2 linked regions of the Caenorhabditis elegans genome follow. The protein of the gene in region 1 purifies or fractionates together with the protein of each later gene. This does not show direct contact. Each region holds a gene or a part of one and is shown in the gene's direction. Other genes may lie near its edges. The genes, in order: pgp-9 and fnta-1.

Region 1 (9,245 bases):
TTGCGGTTTGATCTATAAAAAGTGCGGGAATTTTTCCCGAGAAAAATCGTGACGTCAGCACGTTCTTACCCATGCGAAATCAGTTGAGATGTCTGCGTCTCACCTCCCGCATTTTTTGTAGATCAAAGCGAAATTGGGCTTTCGGACTCCGCGTGTAAATTGGAATGAAACTAAAAAACTCTAAAATTTGTGTAAAGTACTGGAAAATACGGAATTTGAAAGAATTTGGAAAATTTTAAATTTCGGCAAACTATTGGAAAAATATAACAAATATCTGAAAATTTCTGAAATTATTATTGAAAAAATCTGGAAACACCTTAATTTATTTTTTAAATCTATAAAATTTCAAAAATTAAAGTAAATTATAGAAATTTAATTTTAAAAAAATTAAATTAAAAAATTCTGTCACAAGTTCACAATTTTGAAAAAAAAATTTTTTTTCGAATTTTTTAAAAAATTTTCAGAAATTTCGTAAAACTTTTTTTTCTAAAACTCATCCCCAATAATCTCCAGCTCAGAAGTTTTTTAATTTTTCAAAATTAAACCTCAAAATACACCTCTCAATATCAAAAAGAGGAGTAACAAGCAAACAAAGAACCCCTGGCAAACGCCCCGAGAAAAACTCCAAACCACACGGAAAGCACACAAAAAGAATGCTCGCCGAGCTCCGTTGATAAACAATTGATAAAAAGTTACACCATTCCGTTTGTGTGGTTTATGTCACTTATTGAGGTGCACGGAACTGGAAATGCGGAGTTTATGCTCTGAAACTGTAAAATTTTGGCAATTTGTCGGACATTTTTTGTGAAGAACCTATAAATATAAAAATTTCGGAAAGATAAGAAGAACAATGTCATGTAATTCGAATTTCATCAGTTTAAGTTTTAACATTTTTTTCAATCTTCTATTGATTTCCTTATATTTTGAGTTTTCTAGTTGAATTTCGAGTCTAAATTGATAAAATTCAAGTTTTAAAACTAAAAAATTCCGACTCAGGGGTATCTAATTACCCTAAAACTTTAAACTTTTGGAAAAAAAACAATAAAAAAGTTTTTACCACAGTGCGGACTCGAACCCCGGTCTTCTGATTGGAAGCAAAACCGTGGAAAATCCCACTGAGCCATTCGGACGAATTTTTCAAAAATGATAAGAAAATGATCAAAATGCGATAAAAATGATAAAAAGACCCAGAAGTTTCCGTATAAAATAACTTGAAATAATATGTGTTCAGAAAAAACTATTTATTTTCGAAAACTTTGGATTTCTTAGTGATTTTTACATATCAAGATTATAAAATTCGAATTCAACACATTTTTATTACCCTAATACAAGTTTTAAATTCGTAAAAATGTTTCGACCACAGTGCGGACTCGAACCCCGGTCTGGTGATTGGAAGGGAAGTCGTGGAAAATCCCACTGAGCCACTTGGTCATATTTTTTAAAAAATGTCCAGAAGAAACAAAAACAAGTATAAGTGTTTTTTTTTAATCAACATTTTCTGAAAATTTTCTTGAATTTTCATATGGAATTGCAGGAATTTATTTGATTTTTCGAAAAACGTGCGTTTTTTAGTTTCTTTGAGTGATTTTCACATATTAAAACTATAAAAAATGAATTCAACACTTTTTGTCACTCTAAAAAATTTTTAAAAATTCAAAACAAAATTCGATCACGGTGCGGACTCGAACCCCGGCCTCGTTATTGGAAGGGAATTTGTGGAAAATCCCACTGAGCCACTTGAACACATTTTTTGAAAAATGTCCAGAAAAGGCAAAAACAAGTATAATTGTTATTTTTATCAAAATTTTCTGAAATTTTCTTAAATTGTCTTGCGGAAGTACAGGAATTTGTATGATTTCGCAAAAAAAAAACGTTTTCGTTTTTTTTTCGAGTGATTTTCACAAATTGAAACCAAAAATACTGAAATCAGGACTTTTTAATTACTCTAAAAAATTTTTACCACAGTGCGGACTCGAACCCCGGTCTTGTGATTGGGAGGAAAGTCGTGGAAAATCACACTGAGCCACTCGGACACAATTTTCAAAAAAAAATTTAAACTTCCCAAAATTGGTATTTTTATGATTTTAAGTATTAAAAATAGCTTTCAAGCCAAAAATATCCAATTTTTTGTGATTTTCGTCACATTTTCAAAATTTTTGCCATACATTTTTTTGACCTTGGTGTTTTTCCTTGTTTTTCGAATTATGCAAAGTTGATACTCTAAACAAATATGAGAGAGAAATCGTATTCTAACCTATCAAAAAAAGATGCTATAAAACTGGCGAGCACACTGCATTTTTGATGAGCATAAACTATAGGAGGGAAATGTGATCACTGAGCGAAGGTTTTGAGTACGTAATGTGATACTTTGCCCATTTTATAGTTCTTGATCATTTGATGTTTATTTTTCTTTTATTTTTCAAAAAAAAAATGCAAAAAAATTTTTTTTTTTGCACCAGTGGCTCAGTGGGGATTTGCATGACTGCCACTCAGAAGACCGTGGTTCGAGTCCGCACTGCGGTCGAATTTTTTTTCTCGATTTTTAAAGATGTTTCAGAGTAACTCAGGCGTGCTGAATTCGATTTTTATATTTATATGCCTCAAAATTTCCTAAAAATTCCCGTTTTTCGAGCAAAAATCCAATATTTGTCTAGTTTGACCTATCAAATTTCGCAATTCATTCCGAATAGATATAAACATTTTGGTTTTGCATCATGAAGTGTATGATATCACTAGGTTGTGTATATAAGCACAAAAGTTTCATGATATCTTATCATTTATTAATTGCTTCTATTTAATTTCGTCTGCACACTGGGCCTGCAGTTTTCTTAGATTTTTTAAAAAGATTTTTTAGAAAACAATGCGAGTATAATTAATTTTATCAAAATTTGGCTTTAAAAGCAATTTTTGAAAAATTGGGTCCAAATGGCGCAGTGGGATTTTACGCAAAATGCCTTCCAATCAGAAGACCAGGGTTCGAGTCCGCACTCTGGTCGAAATATTTTTTTTTGATTTTTAATCGAAGTTTAATCAACGTTTTAGAGTAATTATAATATTTCCAATTCAAATTTAATAATTTCAGTATCTGAAAATTCCTTTAAAATATATTAAACTCAATAATAAATAAATTTAAAAAGCTAGAACAGTTCTCTGATTTTTTGATTTCTGTTTTAACACACTTAGCAAACAGTTCAAAATGTACTGCCAACTTATTTTCTGTTGACCCACTTTAAGCTCCGCCCACTTTTCTTTCCCTAGACTTTTGTTTCTCCAAACTATAGAGAGATCTTTCGAAAACTGACGGAATTCACTTTGTTTTATTTCTCAATTCCTCCAATTTCAGTGTGTACTTAGGGCAGTGATAAGAGGTTGATAAAACTGTCGGCAGTTGGACTGATAACAATATGAAAGAATTTTTGGGCTCTTTCATTTCATTTTTTCGCTCAAGGATCATATTTTCAGTGACTTTTTGAAATTTCTAAGTTTTTCAGTAGATTTTTTGGTTTAATGTTGGAAAATTTGAAATCAGCATCTATTATTTACCCTAAAACTTTTCGAGAAAAAATGAAAAATGGTAAGCCACAGTGCGGACTCGAACCCCGGTCTTGTGATTGGAAGGGACTTCGGGGAAAATCGCACTGCGCCATTTGGACACATTTTTCAAAAAACTGCTCAGAAAAAAGTCAGAATATTGATTTTACAGCTAACTTGAGTGAATTATCGAAATTTTCAGCAATTTGGATATACAATATTGAATTTCTTCCCAAAAACCGTTGCATTCCAGAAAATTTCAAATTTTATTATATTTTTTTCGAATTTTTATTTTGAAAATCGAGTTCAGCATGTCAGAATTACTTTAAAAACTATTCGAAAAAGCAAATAAAAAATTTCGACCACTGTGCGGGCTCGAACCCCGGTCTTCTGATTGGAAGGGACTTCGTGGAAAATCCCACTGAGCCATTCGTACATTTTTCTGGAAAACTACGATTTGAACCGTTTTTTGTGACTTTTTCGATTTTCTGCGTACTTTTTTGAATTTTATGTATTTTTTTCAGGTAATGGGTCTATTCAAAAAGAAGAAGGATGATTCATCATCGGAAGGGTAGGTATTTCTGAGGAACCGCACCTAAAAACGCTGAAAATTTTTGCAGATCATCAGAGAAAAAAGAAGAAGCTCCACCGCCGCCAAAAATCTCAATTTTTCAACTATACCGGTACACAAGCACAGTAGATCGGTTAATGTTGGCAGTAGGAATCATTGTATCATGTGCCACCGGTGTAGGACTCCCTTTGATGTCTATTATTATGGTAAAATAATTTTTTTTAAATAGTTTTGTCTTAAAATAACCTAAAAATAATCTAAATCATTGCAGGGTAACGTGTCACAAAACTTCGTCACCCTTGGTACCATTTTCCTGGATCCTAACTCAACTGCGTCAGAAAAAGCTGCGGCAAGAGCCGAGTTTTCTCATGAAGTTATTCAAAATTGTTTGAAATACGTTTACCTTGGATGTGGAATTTTTGCTGCTGGTTTTCTACAGGTATTGGGTTTAGTTTTGCGAAAAATCGAAATTGAACAAAAAAATTTCGGAAAAAATAAATTAAGAAATTTCGAAAAAAAATTTTCGAAAAATGTTTAGTCAATTTTTTTTTCAAATCGCCTAAAGTTATAAAATTCCGAACATATACACAAATTTAAATGAATTTCACTTTTTCTAGCTTTTATCCGCAAAAAAATTGAATTTTCTAAAAATTTAAAGAAAAAACTTTTGAGCACAATTTCAGGCCAAAATTTCGCAAATTTTGTAAAAATACAAGTTTTCGACATGAGATTTGAATTTAGCAGCTTTGAATTACTCTAAAAACATCCTTAAAAACCAAAAAAAAAGTTTTGGCCACCATGCGGACTCGAACCCCGGTCTTCTGATTGGAACGGAAATCGTGGAAAATCCCACTGAGCCATTTGGACACAGTTTTCAAAATTGTTTAGAAAAATCAAAAAAAAATTGATTTTACAATTAATTTGAGTAAATTTTTAAAAATTTTCGGCAATTTGGATATACAAAATTGAACTCCTTCCCAAAAGCCGTTTTATTTTTGAAATTTTCTAAATTTATTCATTTTTTTTTTGAATTTTTTCATTGAAAATCGACATCAGCACATTAGAATTACTCTAAAACATTTTTAAAAACAAAAAAAAAGTTTTGCCCACTATGCGGACTCGAACCCCGGTCTTCTGATTGGAATGGAATTTGTGGAAAATCTCACTGCGCCATTTGGACACATTTTTAAAAATTCTCAGAAAATTAGTTTTTCTTCAAATCTCTTCAATTTTTAAGGCTTCATGCTTCATGGTAATCTGTGAGAAACTGTCAAATAGATTCCGGCGGCAGTTCTTCCATTCTGTGATGCGTCAGGAGATTGCCTGGTACGACAAGAATACGTCTGGAACTTTGTCGAATAAGCTTTTTGAGTGAGTTTAGAAATTTTAAAGCTTTTTTTTTTTAAATTTGGAATTGATTTGAATTTTGAAAAATAATATGACCGAAACAAAAATTGTTGCTTAAAAATGTTGAACTTTATTTTTCTAAAAATTTTTTTCCGCAAATCGGCAAATCTGCAAATTGCCTGAATTGAAAATTTCCGTCTAATGGGCAAACCGGCAAATCGGTAAACCTACAAATTGCATAAATTGAAAATTTCCGGTAAATTCGGCAAACCGGCAATTTGTCGGAATTGAAAATTTCTGACAAATCGGAAAACCGGCAAATCGGCAAATTACTTAAATTGAAAATTTCCGGCAAGTGTGCAAACCGGCAAATCGGTAAACCTTCAAATTGCATAAATTGAAAGTTTCCGGCGAACAGGCAAACCTGCAATTTGCAGGAATTGAAAAATTCCTTCAAATGGGCAAATGGGCAAATTGCCGGAACTGAAAACTTCCGGTAAATGTGCAGACTGGCAATTTACCAAAAATGAAAATTTCTGGCAATTGGGCAAACCGGCAAATTGCCCAAATTGAAAATTTCCAACACATCGACAAATCGGCAAATGTCCTGTTACAAATTTCCGGCAAATCGGCAAACAGGCAAATTGCCGGAATTGAAAATATGCCGATTTGCCGGATTTGCCCCCTCCTCATTTCATATAAATACCCCTTAAAACCATTAATTTTTTCAGCAATCTTGAACGTGTCCGCGAAGGTACCGGAGACAAAGTCGGTCTGGCCTTCCAGATGATGGCTCAGTTCATCGGTGGATTTGCCGTGGCTTTTACCTACGACTGGCTTCTAACCCTAATTATGATGTCACTTTCTCCATTTATGATGATTTGCGGCTTGTTCCTTGCCAAACTTCTCGCCACCGCAGCTACCAAAGAGGCTAAGCAGTACGCCGTTGCCGGAGGAATCGCTGAGGAAGTTCTGACCTCGATCAGAACAGTTATTGCGTTTAACGGTCAGGAATATGAGTGTAAACGGTACGAGGATGCTCTGGAGCACGGTAAAAAGACTGGAATCAAGAAAAGTTTCCTAATCGGAGCCGGGCTTGCGTCCTTCTTCGTCATCATCTACGCCTCCTACTGCCTCGCCTTCTGGGTTGGAACCAATTTCGTGTATAGTGGACGCCTGGAGTCTGGTACAGTACTAACCGTTTTCTTCTCGGTGATGATGGGATCCATGGCACTTGGGCAGGCTGGACAGCAATTTGCAACCATTGGTACAGCTCTGGGAGCCGCCGCCTCCCTCTATGAGGTCATTGACAGAATACCGGAAATCGATGCATACTCTACTGAGGGACAGACTCCGAGCAAGATTTCCGGAAGGATTTCTGTGAATAAAGTGGAATTTACGTACCCGACACGTGCTGATGTGAAGATCCTTAAGGGTGTCTCGTTGGATGCTCAACCCGGACAGACTGTCGCATTGGTTGGAAGCTCCGGATGTGGAAAGTCGACTATTATTCAGTTGCTTCAACGGTTCTATAACCCGGATGCCGGGCAGATTTTGATTGATGACATTCCGATTGAGGACTTTAATATTAAGTATCTCCGACAACTGGTTGGAGTTGTGAGCCAGGAGCCCAACTTGTTCAATACATCTATTGAACAGAACATTCGTTATGGAAGAAGTGATGTTTCAGATGAAGATATTGCTAGAGCTTTGAAGGAGGCAAATGCTGCGGATTTCATCAAGACATTCCCAGGTTAGATTTAATCGATAGAAAATTTAATGCTAATCATTTTTGCAGTTTAAATTTTCTTGATATCTCTATTCTCCGTGGAGATATACGCGTTTGAAGTTGAGAGAGCGAAACACTGTGGGAGAGGGAGAGACGCAGGTGGCGTGACTTTCTGCACTCTCCCCTCCCTCCACACACTCTCTCATTGCGCGAACATTGAACCGTTGTAACTCTGCAGTGGTTAGAGCTATCAAAAAGATTCAAAATGGAAAAATATTGTAAATTTCACGAGGAACACGTTGAAGTTAATAGCTTGTGTGATTTTCAGAAAAAAAAACCGGAAAATTTGGAACTTAAGAGTTTTTCTTTAAAACTCATTCGAAGCAAAATTGCATGCTGATCATTTTTCCAGTTCAAAGTTTTTTGATATCTCTATTCTCCGTGAAAACGTGCGTTTGAAGTTTAGACAGCGAAACACCGTGGGAGGGAGAGAGACGCAGGTGGTGAGGCTGTCTGCACTCTCCCCTCCCTCCACACACTCTCTCATTGCGCGAACTTTGAGCCGTTGTAACTCTGCAGTGGTTAGAGCTATCAAAAAAGTTCAAAACGAAGAAATAATGTAAAATTTACAAGGAATACGCTGAAGTTAATAGCTTGTGTGATTTTTAGAAAAAAAAACCGGAAAATTCGGAAATTTAGATTTCAGTTAAAATTTTCAATGAAAATTCGAAGCAAAATTGAATGCTGGTCCTTTTTCCAGTTCAAAATTTTTCGATATCTCTATTCTCCGTGGAGATATACACGTTTGAAATTGAGACAGCGAAACACGCGTTTGAAATTGAGACAGCGAAACACCGTGGGAGAGGGAGAGACGCAGGTGGTAGGGCTGTCTGCGCTCTCCTCTCCCTCCACACTCTTTCACCGTGCAAACTTTAAACCGTTGTAACTCTGCAACGGGTTGAGATATCAAAAAAATTTCAACTATCGGTATTATCAAAATTTAATCTAGATATCAAATCATATAAATTCAAAATTTTTGCAATTTCCAGAAGGCCTCAACACTCTCGTCGGAGATCGTGGAGTTCAAATGTCCGGAGGTCAAAAGCAACGTATTGCCATTGCCCGTGCCCTTGTCAGAAACCCCAAGATTCTGCTCCTCGACGAAGCCACAAGTGCTCTGGACGCCGAATCCGAGAGTATTGTGCAATCGGCTCTGGAGAACGCATCGCGTGGGCGTACCACAATTGTGATTGCTCATCGTCTGTCGACAGTTCGTAACGCTGATAAGATCATCGTGATGAAGGCCGGACAAGTGATGGAAGTGGGAACTCACGAGACTTTGATAGAGCAGAAGGGCCTATACCATGAGTTGGTGCATGCTCAGGTGTTTGCTGATGTGGATGACAAGCCGAAGAAGAAAGAAGCAGAAAGACGGATGTCTAGGCAGACATCGCAGAGGAAAGGATCAGTGGTAAGAGCCAACCTAGTTGAAATTTCCTCTAACTAACTTATTTTTCCAGAACTTCAAAACCCAAGAGTCCCAGGTAGACGAGAAGCCCGGAGCCCCACCAGCCCCTGAGGCCGCTGAAAAAGAGATCAAACGTCTGAAGAAGGAACTCGAAGAGGAAGGAGCTGTCAAAGCGAACTTATTCAAGATCTTAAGATACGCCCGTCCAGAATGGATCTACATCTTCTTCGCCATCATTGCAGCCCTCATCCAGGGAGCCGTGATGCCAGCTTTCTCGCTTTTCTTCAGTCAGATCATCAACGTTTTCTCGAATCCAGACCGTGATCAAATGAAGAAAGACGGGCATTTCTGGGCGTTGATGTTCTTGGTACTTGCAGCGGTTCAAGGAACTTCCATGTTGTTCCAGTGTTCCCTGTTCGGAGTTGCTGCCGAAAGATTGACAATGAGGATTCGGTCGAAGGTGTACAGAAATGTTTTGAGGCAGGATGCCACGTACTTTGATATGCCTAAGCACTCGCCTGGAAGAATTACGACTAGATTAGCGACAGATGCTCCAAATATCAAATCTGCTATTGATTATCGGTAAGATTTAGAATCTT
Region 2 (9,420 bases), on another chromosome or scaffold:
CAACTGGTGTTAGAATGAATCGAAGTCCATTGAGAGCATCTACCACTGAATTCGTGTAAATTGTCATATCATCCCAGAGACTCAGTTCGGCAGCAGCCACTGGTGGAGAATCTGGAGCAGTTTCGAATTGAGGAAGTGATGCTGGATCTATTCCGATCATGACAATGTCCCGGGAAGATCCTGTCAGTCTACTCGTCGCTTCTTGTACATTTTGACGGAATCTTTGCTCAATTAGTTTTGTTAGTTTTCCGGCGATCAGTGGTCGGAAATCGATGCCCATTCTTCCGAAAGATGATGCCATTGCCATTAGTTTTGTCCACACTGCTGACAGATCGACGGCTGATCTGAAATTAAGCACATTTTTTTTAATTTTTAATTTTTAATTGGTGATTTTCTCCGGAATTTCTAAAGTTTTAGTGGATTTTCCAGCCAAGATTTATGGAGAATCTCAGAAATTGGAGAAAATCCTCACTTAACATCCGCCTTTGTGATAAGATCCAACATTTTCTTGACATTCGAAATAACCCATTGTGACAGAATCGAGTTTGGTGGCAGAACTGGCCATGATTCCCATCTCGGATCAGCATTCGGCTGAAAAAAAAGTGAAATAAAATTGTTTTATTATTCTTGGCTATTGTTTTTTGCTCAAAATTTTTTCGATTTGATTCCCTTACATTTTTTCGAACAACTTCGTTTTCCGGAAACACTGCAAGATAAAGCACGAGAGTGTCGTACATACTGGTACGGTAGATCTCGATCGCCTGCACAATCATGTCAACATTTCCCTGAAAAAAACGAAATAAATTGTATTAAATATGTTGTGATTGGCATTTCTCACTGAAATATCTAAAATCTGTTTTTCCAGATAAATATCCCGGTGCTGAAGAACGGCGATTCTCAGCTGATTCGCTGTCAATGAGGGCATCTTTCGAACGTTATTCACAACTTTGATGGATTCTGCAAGATCCAGTGGCCCAGCGAATTTGTTGAAAAGTTCCTCCAAAAGATAAGCACGAGCTTCGACTAGGTGGTCCGCGACTTTCTAGAATTATTTTTTACGTTTTTAACAGGTTTTCCTGGGGATTTCAGACTTTTATCAGCGGATTCCGGTAGAGTTGAGTCTGTTGTTGAAGTTGCAAGCCATAATTGGTCAATGTGTAAGCCAGATCATAGTATCCTGCACGAATGCAAATGTCCATGCGCTAAAATGTTTTAAAATTACAAAGAAAAAAGAAAAGTAGATGTAGAATTACCGAGGGTAGCGTCAAAAGCTCCCAGATCGGATTTGACTTGTCCAGTGCTTTTCTGACAAGATCCTGCTCTTCAGAAAGCTGTTTAGCTTTTGCTCTAAACTCTACAAACGCAGAAGTCAACTCCTCTGCTTGATCCGACAGATTTACAGTTTTATCGCGCATTTCTCCGAACTGAAATTATTTAGGGTTTAGACTTTAAATAGATTTTTTCGTGAAATTACAGTTTTCGAGCAATCGTGAGTGGCTCTTCCAGCGTCTGCATATGTTCCATAATTATTGAATGCTAAATCACTAATCTGGGCGTCAATCGCCTTCAGCTCGCTGGCCAGCAGCACCTTTTGACGTCCTGAACGATTTTTCGATGAATTTTCACATTATTGCAGATTACTTACGCATTTCTTCAAGTCCCATATTGCGAATATCATCTCCATTATGAAATATATAATCAGAATCCATGATTTCCTACAGTAAAGGCAAATCGGCGATAAGAAAGAAATCGCGTTGGCTGCCCGTAAATCCACATGAGAGCCGGAGTGTTTGCGGAGAGTGCGCAGGAAATTACGACACTTTGCACCGTTTAACTTTAAATCCATTTTTTTTCTTTTCCGAGTTGTTCGAGCATTTAAGACGTTTTTTCCAGTTTCCAGCTCAATTTTTATTGAAAAATATTTAGAAAAAATTCAAAATTTAATGTTTTCCCCTTCAAAATCCAATATTAACGAAAAATAAGCTTGCAGGCGGAGAAAATGTCGGACAGCGATATTCCATCTTCAACTCTCTACAAAGATAACGTAGATTGGAAGGATATTACGCCGATCTACCCGAGTAAGGAGGAAGAAGTTGCTGTTAAGATCGCTGTTACGGAAGACTGTAAGAAATTTTGAGATCAAATTAATAATTATTCAAATTTTAATTTTGCAGTCACCGATGCTTTCGCCTACTTCCGTGCAATTCTAATAAAAAACGAGAAGTCGGATCGAGTGATGGCACTTCTCGAGGATTGCATTAGACTTAATCCAGCGAATTACACAGTTTGGCAGTATCGCCGCGTGTGTCTCACCGAGTTGGGATGGGATTTGAAGAAGGAGATGCGGTATCTCAGCGATATTATTCAAGAATCACCGAAAAACTATCAAGTCTGGCATCACCGTCGCTTCATCGTCGAAACGATTGGAGAAAGTGCGGTGAACGATGAGCTTCATTTTTGCTCGGAAGTCATCCGCGACGAGAACAAAAACTATCACGCGTGGCAGCACCGTCAATGGGTTGTACGGACTTTCAAGGTTCCACTGGAGAAAGAGCTCACATTTGCTCTTCACATGCTTCTTCTCGATAATCGCAACAATTCGGCGTATAATTATCGCTATTTTCTGATGACTCTCTACGATAAGACGGAGGATGCGAGCCAGCTTGACATTGAGATCAAGTAAGGAAATATAACAGCGATCAATTTTTTGTTCACGATTAGCGTTTTTAGTGGAGAAACATCTATCTGATGTAGAAAGCGATTCAGAAACTAAAAATCTCCGAAAATTCCAGAATATTCTTCTCAATTTCTGATTTTTAGTGATGAAAACTACCTAAAAATTGAAAACTGTCCAAATATTTGATTAATCAAACATGAAGATAACTTTGAAAGTAAAAATTTTTGGTTGAGGCTGAAGAGTTTGGGTGAGGCTAAGAGTTTGGTTGAGGCTAAGAGTTTGGTTGAGGCTAAGAATTTGGTTGAGGCTAAGCGTTTGGTTGAGGCTAAGAATTTGGTTGAGGCTGAAGAGTTTGGTTGAGGCTAACAAGGAAAGGAAGTCAATCTAGTATCGGACTTTAAATTGAGACGTATGTCATTTGAAAGCTTATGTTTAGACTAGATCACCACAAAAATTTCAGCGGCGGAACTCAACTCTGAACCCCTGAAATCGCCATCTGAAAATTTTTCTCTGCGCCCTCCTAGTTTTCAATACTATTTCGTACTTATTCATTTTACTTATACAAAAAATGATTTTCAATCATTATGAAATGGTTACAAACATGGAAAACAATAAAAAACAACGGTTGATGGCCGAATGGTAAACGCTTGGAATAATAAAATAAAGGTCTCGTGTTCGATTCTTTCAGTGGAAATAATTTTTTTCTTCAACTTTTAAAAACTGCAATCGGGCCCTTTGTAAAAAATTGTAAAAAATTGTAAAAAGGCTCAATTCGAAGAAATATGTAGCTTTTTGCATGCCCGGATACAAAAAAATAGTTTTGGAATTTTTTCAAAAAAAAAAATTTTTGACCAAAAATTTGGTGTCCAATGGATCGAAAAAATTTCAGATTTTTTTCAAAAAAATAAAAATTTCCAAAAAGCTCCCACATTGTTTGTTAGACCCTAAAAACCCCCAAAAACAATTTCTAATCTCTCAGAACCCCTTTTGAGGCCATTTACTTGATATAGAAGTCAGCGAAAAAATGCACTGGAGCATAGATAGATTGACTTCCTTTCCTTGTAAGAGTTTGGTTGAGGCTAAGAGTTTGTTTGAGGCTAAATAGTTGTTGCACATCTTCCATTAAACTTGAACACAAAACCTCTCAATTTTTCTAGCCTCGCCAAGAAGTTCATTGAGAATATTCCGAACAACGAAAGTGCCTGGAACTACCTCGCAGGGCTTCTCATCACAAATGGAGTAACCTCGAACAGTGATGTTGTCAGTTTTGTGGAGGATTTGTATGAGACAACTCCTGAAGAGAAACGGTCACCATTCCTTCTTGCATTTATCGCCGATATGATGCTCGAAAATATTGAAAACCAAAAGTCTGCGGAAGAAAGCGCTGGGCGCGCTAAAAAGGTTTGTAAGTCTAGAAAGTTCATGAGAAATGGGATAACATTGGAGAATTTTTAACTAAAAATTTCCTTTTTTTTAATTAAAAGTGCACATTTTCGCTTTAAATGAATTTGCGCTCTAAACGCCTCAAATTCCCGAAATTTCCAGCTCTACAAGGATCTTCAATCGATCGACCCGGTTCGAGTCAACTACTACCGCCATCAGAGTCTTCTTGCTCAAACGATGCTCATCAAGGCACAGACGAAGGTCACTGCCAAGTAATTCTTTCTGAATTCCACGTTTTTTTTGTATTTATATGTTTTTGTGTAAGTATATCCCAATGATTTCCCACAATTTGCCGTCCTACTTATTTATTTAAAAAATTTTTTTTTAAATTATTATTCAATGATGCTTTTTTTATAGTTTATTCTTAATTTTTATACCTTTTGTCACGTTTTTTAGTTGAAAGGCAAGAGAAAATGGAAATTTCCGAGGCACAGCGGCACTCCGATATCTTTCATGCGCCTTTAAGTTTGGAGTACTGTAGATTTTGAATTTTTTTTCTTGAATTATTGCAAATAATTGAAATATTTCGAAATCAACTGTTTATTCATCATTTCGGCTACCAGTTTTCTTTGTTTCTGAGAGAAATATTAAAAATTTATTCTTCTTTTCCAAATTTAAATTTCGATGATACAAGAACCCCTGACAGAATTTAATTTTTCTCGGGAAAAGCGTTGTTTATTCTTCAAAAAAAATCGATTCTAAATTTCTTAAAAATAAAATTATTAAGATGGAACAACGGGATATGAAAACCGTTTTTCTGCTGGATCGGAGCGCGAAATTCGTGGAAAACTGTAACGAAACGTTCGATGTCACAATTCGAGAAGGCCCAAAACAGAAGAAACTTCAATTCGAAAAAACCATTTGGACGTGGTGCCTTGAGGGAATCTTCGAAATGCACAGAATTCTGAGTGACGTCTATCCACGTGGCACTCTACAGCTTCGATTTGCCCTGGCGGACTTCATGGGAAAGATGTTGGATACGCAGTGGACGGACGGATTTTTGACTCGAGAAGAGCTCGGAGAACTCATTGAGACTGTGAGCCGCCCGAGTGAGGCTAATACTGATATTACACCAATTGGTGGATTGACTATGGCCATTGAAGCGTTGGCTGTGCAGTCGCCTGAACAGAGAAATTATAATTATGATGTACGATATAGTGCAAGTGAGTATTTCCTTTTGAAACATTAATTATTTTATCCAAAATCGTAATTATGATCATCTGGAAATCTTTAAAAAAAAGGTTTTACACTAGTTTTACACGAAATCTATGGTTTTCAAGCCTTTTTTACGTAGAAAAACTATCGAAAAATGATTTAAAAAAATCTTGAAAAATCACTGAAAACCCGCATTTTCCGTTAGAAATCTACCTTATTCTGAAAATTTCCAGACAAACGTACAGCTCAAAACTCGGAAGTAATACGCGTGACACGAGAACTCAGAGGTCTTCCACCACTTCCAACTGTTCAAAACGCCGGAAATTTGATTATGTACACCCGGTTGAATACTCAAGAGGAAATGGAACAATTACAGACGGAGATTGTCGAGTTAGTTGTGTCACGCAACAAAATCGCCGACGCTCCTTCAAATAAAACGTAATATTTTGATTATAAAATCGGTTTTTTCGCCAAAAATCACAAAAAAGAACCCAGTTTTAAGACATTTTGTAAACAAAAATCCGGGGCCTCACTCATACTATTCAGTCTCGCAGAAAAATCCAGAGAGCCTCAACCAAAAATCCAGAGAGCCTCAACCAAAAATCCAGAGAGCCTCAACCAAAAATCCTGAGAGCCTCACCCAAAAATCCAGAGAGCCTCAATCAAAAATCCAGAGAGCCTCAACCAAAAATCAAGAGAGCCTCAACCGAAAATTCTGAGCCTCACCCAAAAATCCAGAGAGCCTCAATCAAAAATCCAGTGAGCCTCAATCAAAAATCAAGAGAGCCTCAACCAAAAATCCTGAGAGCCTCAACCAAAAATCTAGAGAGCCTCAGCCAAAAATCTAGAGAGCCTCAGCCAAAAATCCCGAGGGATCAATTTTACCAAGCAATTTGAATAGATTCTTACCATAAACTTCAATAAAATTTAATTTATCTTTCCAGATTCTGCCCAATTACTTCTCTTCGCTTATTCATCGTGAATTACTATGCCACTGGAGACGAATGTACAGTAAAAACTCATTCCCTTCAAGCTCATCCGGATCTTCCACTGCTCAAAATTTGGGTAATCTCACGAAAAGCCGCGGATATGTGTGACGCGATTCATTCATTGCTTGTTGATGCATTCGATCTAGGATCAACTACAGTAACCAAGATCCCAATGAAAGAAGACAATCGAGGATCTTCGAATTATGATGTTGAGCTGTTTCATTCGGGAAAAGTTCATGCGATGCTCAAGGAGAATAACCTTATCGATGTGAGAAAATGAAGAGGGTTTAGGACTTCTTAATAACTTTTTCAGAAAACAAATTTTGTATTGTAGATACCGTACCCGCTAGTACGGTAATTATTGCATCCTTTCAAAGTAATTGTTTTAACTCCGTTTTTCGGAAAAAATTACTTTGGGAAATGCGGAAAGCTTATCAAAGTGTTCTTCTCCGGATTTTTAAAATTTTTTAAATAAAAAACAATGTGGCGGATGCATATTCTTCCATTTTCAAGCCTGAGAATAAATTTTTTTATAATTTTCAGACGGTGAGCAAAAAAGGCGACTCGGACAAGGGTGTAACTTACGATACAATGCGGCTCACCTGGACCACAGCTCCCAAGACAAAATGGTCATTGGTAAGGAAAAAAAAGAAAAAGTTCCGAGAAGAACTTGAAAATAGAAGATTTTCGGTTTTTTTTGCCTAGAAGAACGAGAATATTCCATAACTCTGCCACTTTCAACAAAAAAAAACCAATTATAATCTTTGAAAATCTCAATTTTTTACAGTTCCCATACCACGGAGCAGCTGTCCCGTGTACTACGGCTCAAGCATATTCCCGCCCGTCAGCCTGCCTTACCCAATTCGTTCGTGATGGTCGATGTGTGATGCTTGATTCGGAGAAAACTACAGAACTCGGAATGAATATGCATGAAAAACTTGTCTCACATTTGCTTATTGCGAATCGTGGAAGAATTTTTATTCAGGAAATTGATTTCATGCAGAAAAGTTTGTAATTTATACAATTATTTTGCCGTCGAAAAATCTCACCGAAAAATCCTGAGCCTCTTTATCCTGATAGCCTCACCCAAAAATACTGAGCCTCAACCAAAAAATCCAGAGAACCTCAACCAAAAATCTTGAAAGCCTCACCAAAAATCCTTAGCCTCAACCAAAAATCCTTAGCCTCAACCAAAAATACTTAGCCTCAACCAAAAATACTTAGCCTCAACCAAAAATACTTAGCCTCAACCAAAAATCCTGAGCCTCAACCAAAAATCCCTAGCCTCACTCAAAATCCCGAGCCTCAACCAAAAATCCTCAGCCTCAACAAAAAATTCTTAGCCTCAACCAAAAATTTTTCTGAAATAATTTTTATATTTTCGCAGAAGACAGAAAACTCGGTCACTATTTTGTTTAAATTTGAGAAAAAAAAATTCAAAACCCAAACATTTGCAGAAGCCGACCGAATCGCTGGAAAACTGAAGCGTCCACGTGTGCTTCATGCTCCGGAGGATCCGATTAATATGAACCAACTTCGGCACACTTATAAGCAGCTCGAGCTCCGTTTTGTCGCCAAAAACCGCATGGACGATAATTTGACAGAAAAAGAGACGGAGAAATGGACAGGATTGAAGAATTCAGATTTGAAGAAAAGATTTCAACGAATTTCCAAAAATATTCCATGTTTCGCAGCGGATACATTTATTTTCAATGAGAAAGTTACACCAAAACTCGAGCCATTAATCAGTTTAATCACAAAAACTACATTATCAGAAAATGACGTGGATAAGTGTAAACAATGCATTGTAACACTTTATCAAATGAAAAATGAACGACAATACGTGATTTCACCGGAATCTGACATCAAAATCAGCTCAGTTCGGAATTTGAAGGATCCAGATGAACAATTGAGAGTGACATTTGTGGAGTTGGCTAAACATATCATGAAATATGTTACTTTCTCTGAAAAACATAAGGAGATTTATAAGACCTATATGACTACATTGAATGTTGATAAACTGTTGGAAGTTGATTTGGATGATGATGAAGCTGTTGATAAGTGAGCAGATTTTCAAAAAGGAATCCTTTAAAAGTTGATAAAAAATAAAATAACGAATTTTCCTTTTTTTTTTCTAAAAAAGTCTTGTTTTAAACAAAATTATGACGTAGCGCAATTTTTTGTGAATTTCAGAAAAAAAAATTAAAATATTTTTTTTAGTAAATCGAGAAAAATCGAAACATTTTCTAATTTTCAAAACTCAAAAAAAAAATCAAAAAATGAGTAAATGAGTGTTCTTGTACTTTTTCTCATTTTTAGATTCAAAATATTTCAATTTTCTGGAAAATGAAAAATTGAATCTTAGAATTTTTTTTGTTTTTCGAAATTCTGAAAATTTTTAAATTTGAAATAAAATAGTATTTATTTTTTAGAAATTGAATAATCACGATATATTTTATGTTTTCGTTTTTTTTTAAATTAAAAACACATCTTTAAATTAGTTGTCAAAAAAAATTTCCAATTCTTCCAGAATGTTCGTGAAATTCTCATTTTTTGGAAAATCGGACACCGCTTCAAAAACCGATGAAGATGAAGATTCCAGTGATGATGAAGACGAGGAAATCCTTAAAAGTCCGGCATTGAAGAAACTATTTGGTTATGTGGATGCACGAGATGAACGAAAATATGAAGAATTATATGGTCAGGGATTCAAAAAGAAGAAGCCTGAAGTCGAGGAGAAGCCGATTGTTATGGCAAAAGGTTGGAAAAAGTTGTGGGAGTTCTACTGGAAATATCGCTAAAATTCCGCAAAAATCTACTGACAAATGAGAAAATTAGGCTGTAAAGTCTGAAAAAAATGAACAAAAACTTTAAAATTCTGAACATTTACGTAAAGTCATCTGGAAATTGCAGAATGTGCTTCCTTTGGATTTTCTGCAATTTCCTGATTATTTTTTAATTAAAAATTCTTAATTTATGATTTTCTGATCACTAAAAAAGTGAAATTTGAGCGATTTTCTGAGTTTACCACTTTTTTCAGCTGAATTACAAACATTCGAACTAAAAAAAAAACAACTTATATATACAGCTCTAATGTTCAATAATTTTTTTTTCGGTAAATGCAGAATACAATATAATTGAAAAAACAAGCTGAAT

The links.
Region 2: the proteins of pgp-9 (region 1) and fnta-1 fractionate together in Caenorhabditis elegans (co-fractionation; one large-scale study listed by BioGRID). This does not show direct contact.

Annotation. Positions count from the first base shown.
Region 1 is NC_003283.11:17,751,839-17,761,083, forward strand, and holds the start of pgp-9 (P-GlycoProtein related), read left to right. Parts: upstream 1-4,053; 5' UTR 4,054-4,058; coding exon 4,059-4,102; intron 4,103-4,151; coding exon 4,152-4,308; intron 4,309-4,373; coding exon 4,374-4,541; intron 4,542-4,871; exon of another isoform or gene 4,872-4,964; intron 4,965-5,339; coding exon 5,340-5,473; intron 5,474-6,180; coding exon 6,181-7,202; intron 7,203-8,227; coding exon 8,228-8,649; intron 8,650-8,698; coding exon 8,699-9,228; intron 9,229-9,245.
Region 2 is NC_003282.8:232,878-242,297, reverse strand, and holds fnta-1 (Protein farnesyltransferase/geranylgeranyltransferase type-1 subunit alpha), read left to right. Parts: upstream 1-1,990; 5' UTR 1,991-1,999; coding exon 2,000-2,123; intron 2,124-2,174; coding exon 2,175-2,679; intron 2,680-3,834; coding exon 3,835-4,078; intron 4,079-4,222; coding exon 4,223-4,336; 3' UTR 4,337-4,707; downstream 4,708-9,420. Other genes in the region: cogc-8 (Conserved oligomeric Golgi complex subunit 8), read right to left, coding at 1-344, 473-591, 675-785, 839-1,042, 1,092-1,202, 1,254-1,424, 1,475-1,599, 1,646-1,709; ints-13 (Protein asunder), read left to right, coding at 4,848-5,283, 5,509-5,713, 6,220-6,532, 6,808-6,900, 7,052-7,271, 7,722-8,325, 8,795-9,024.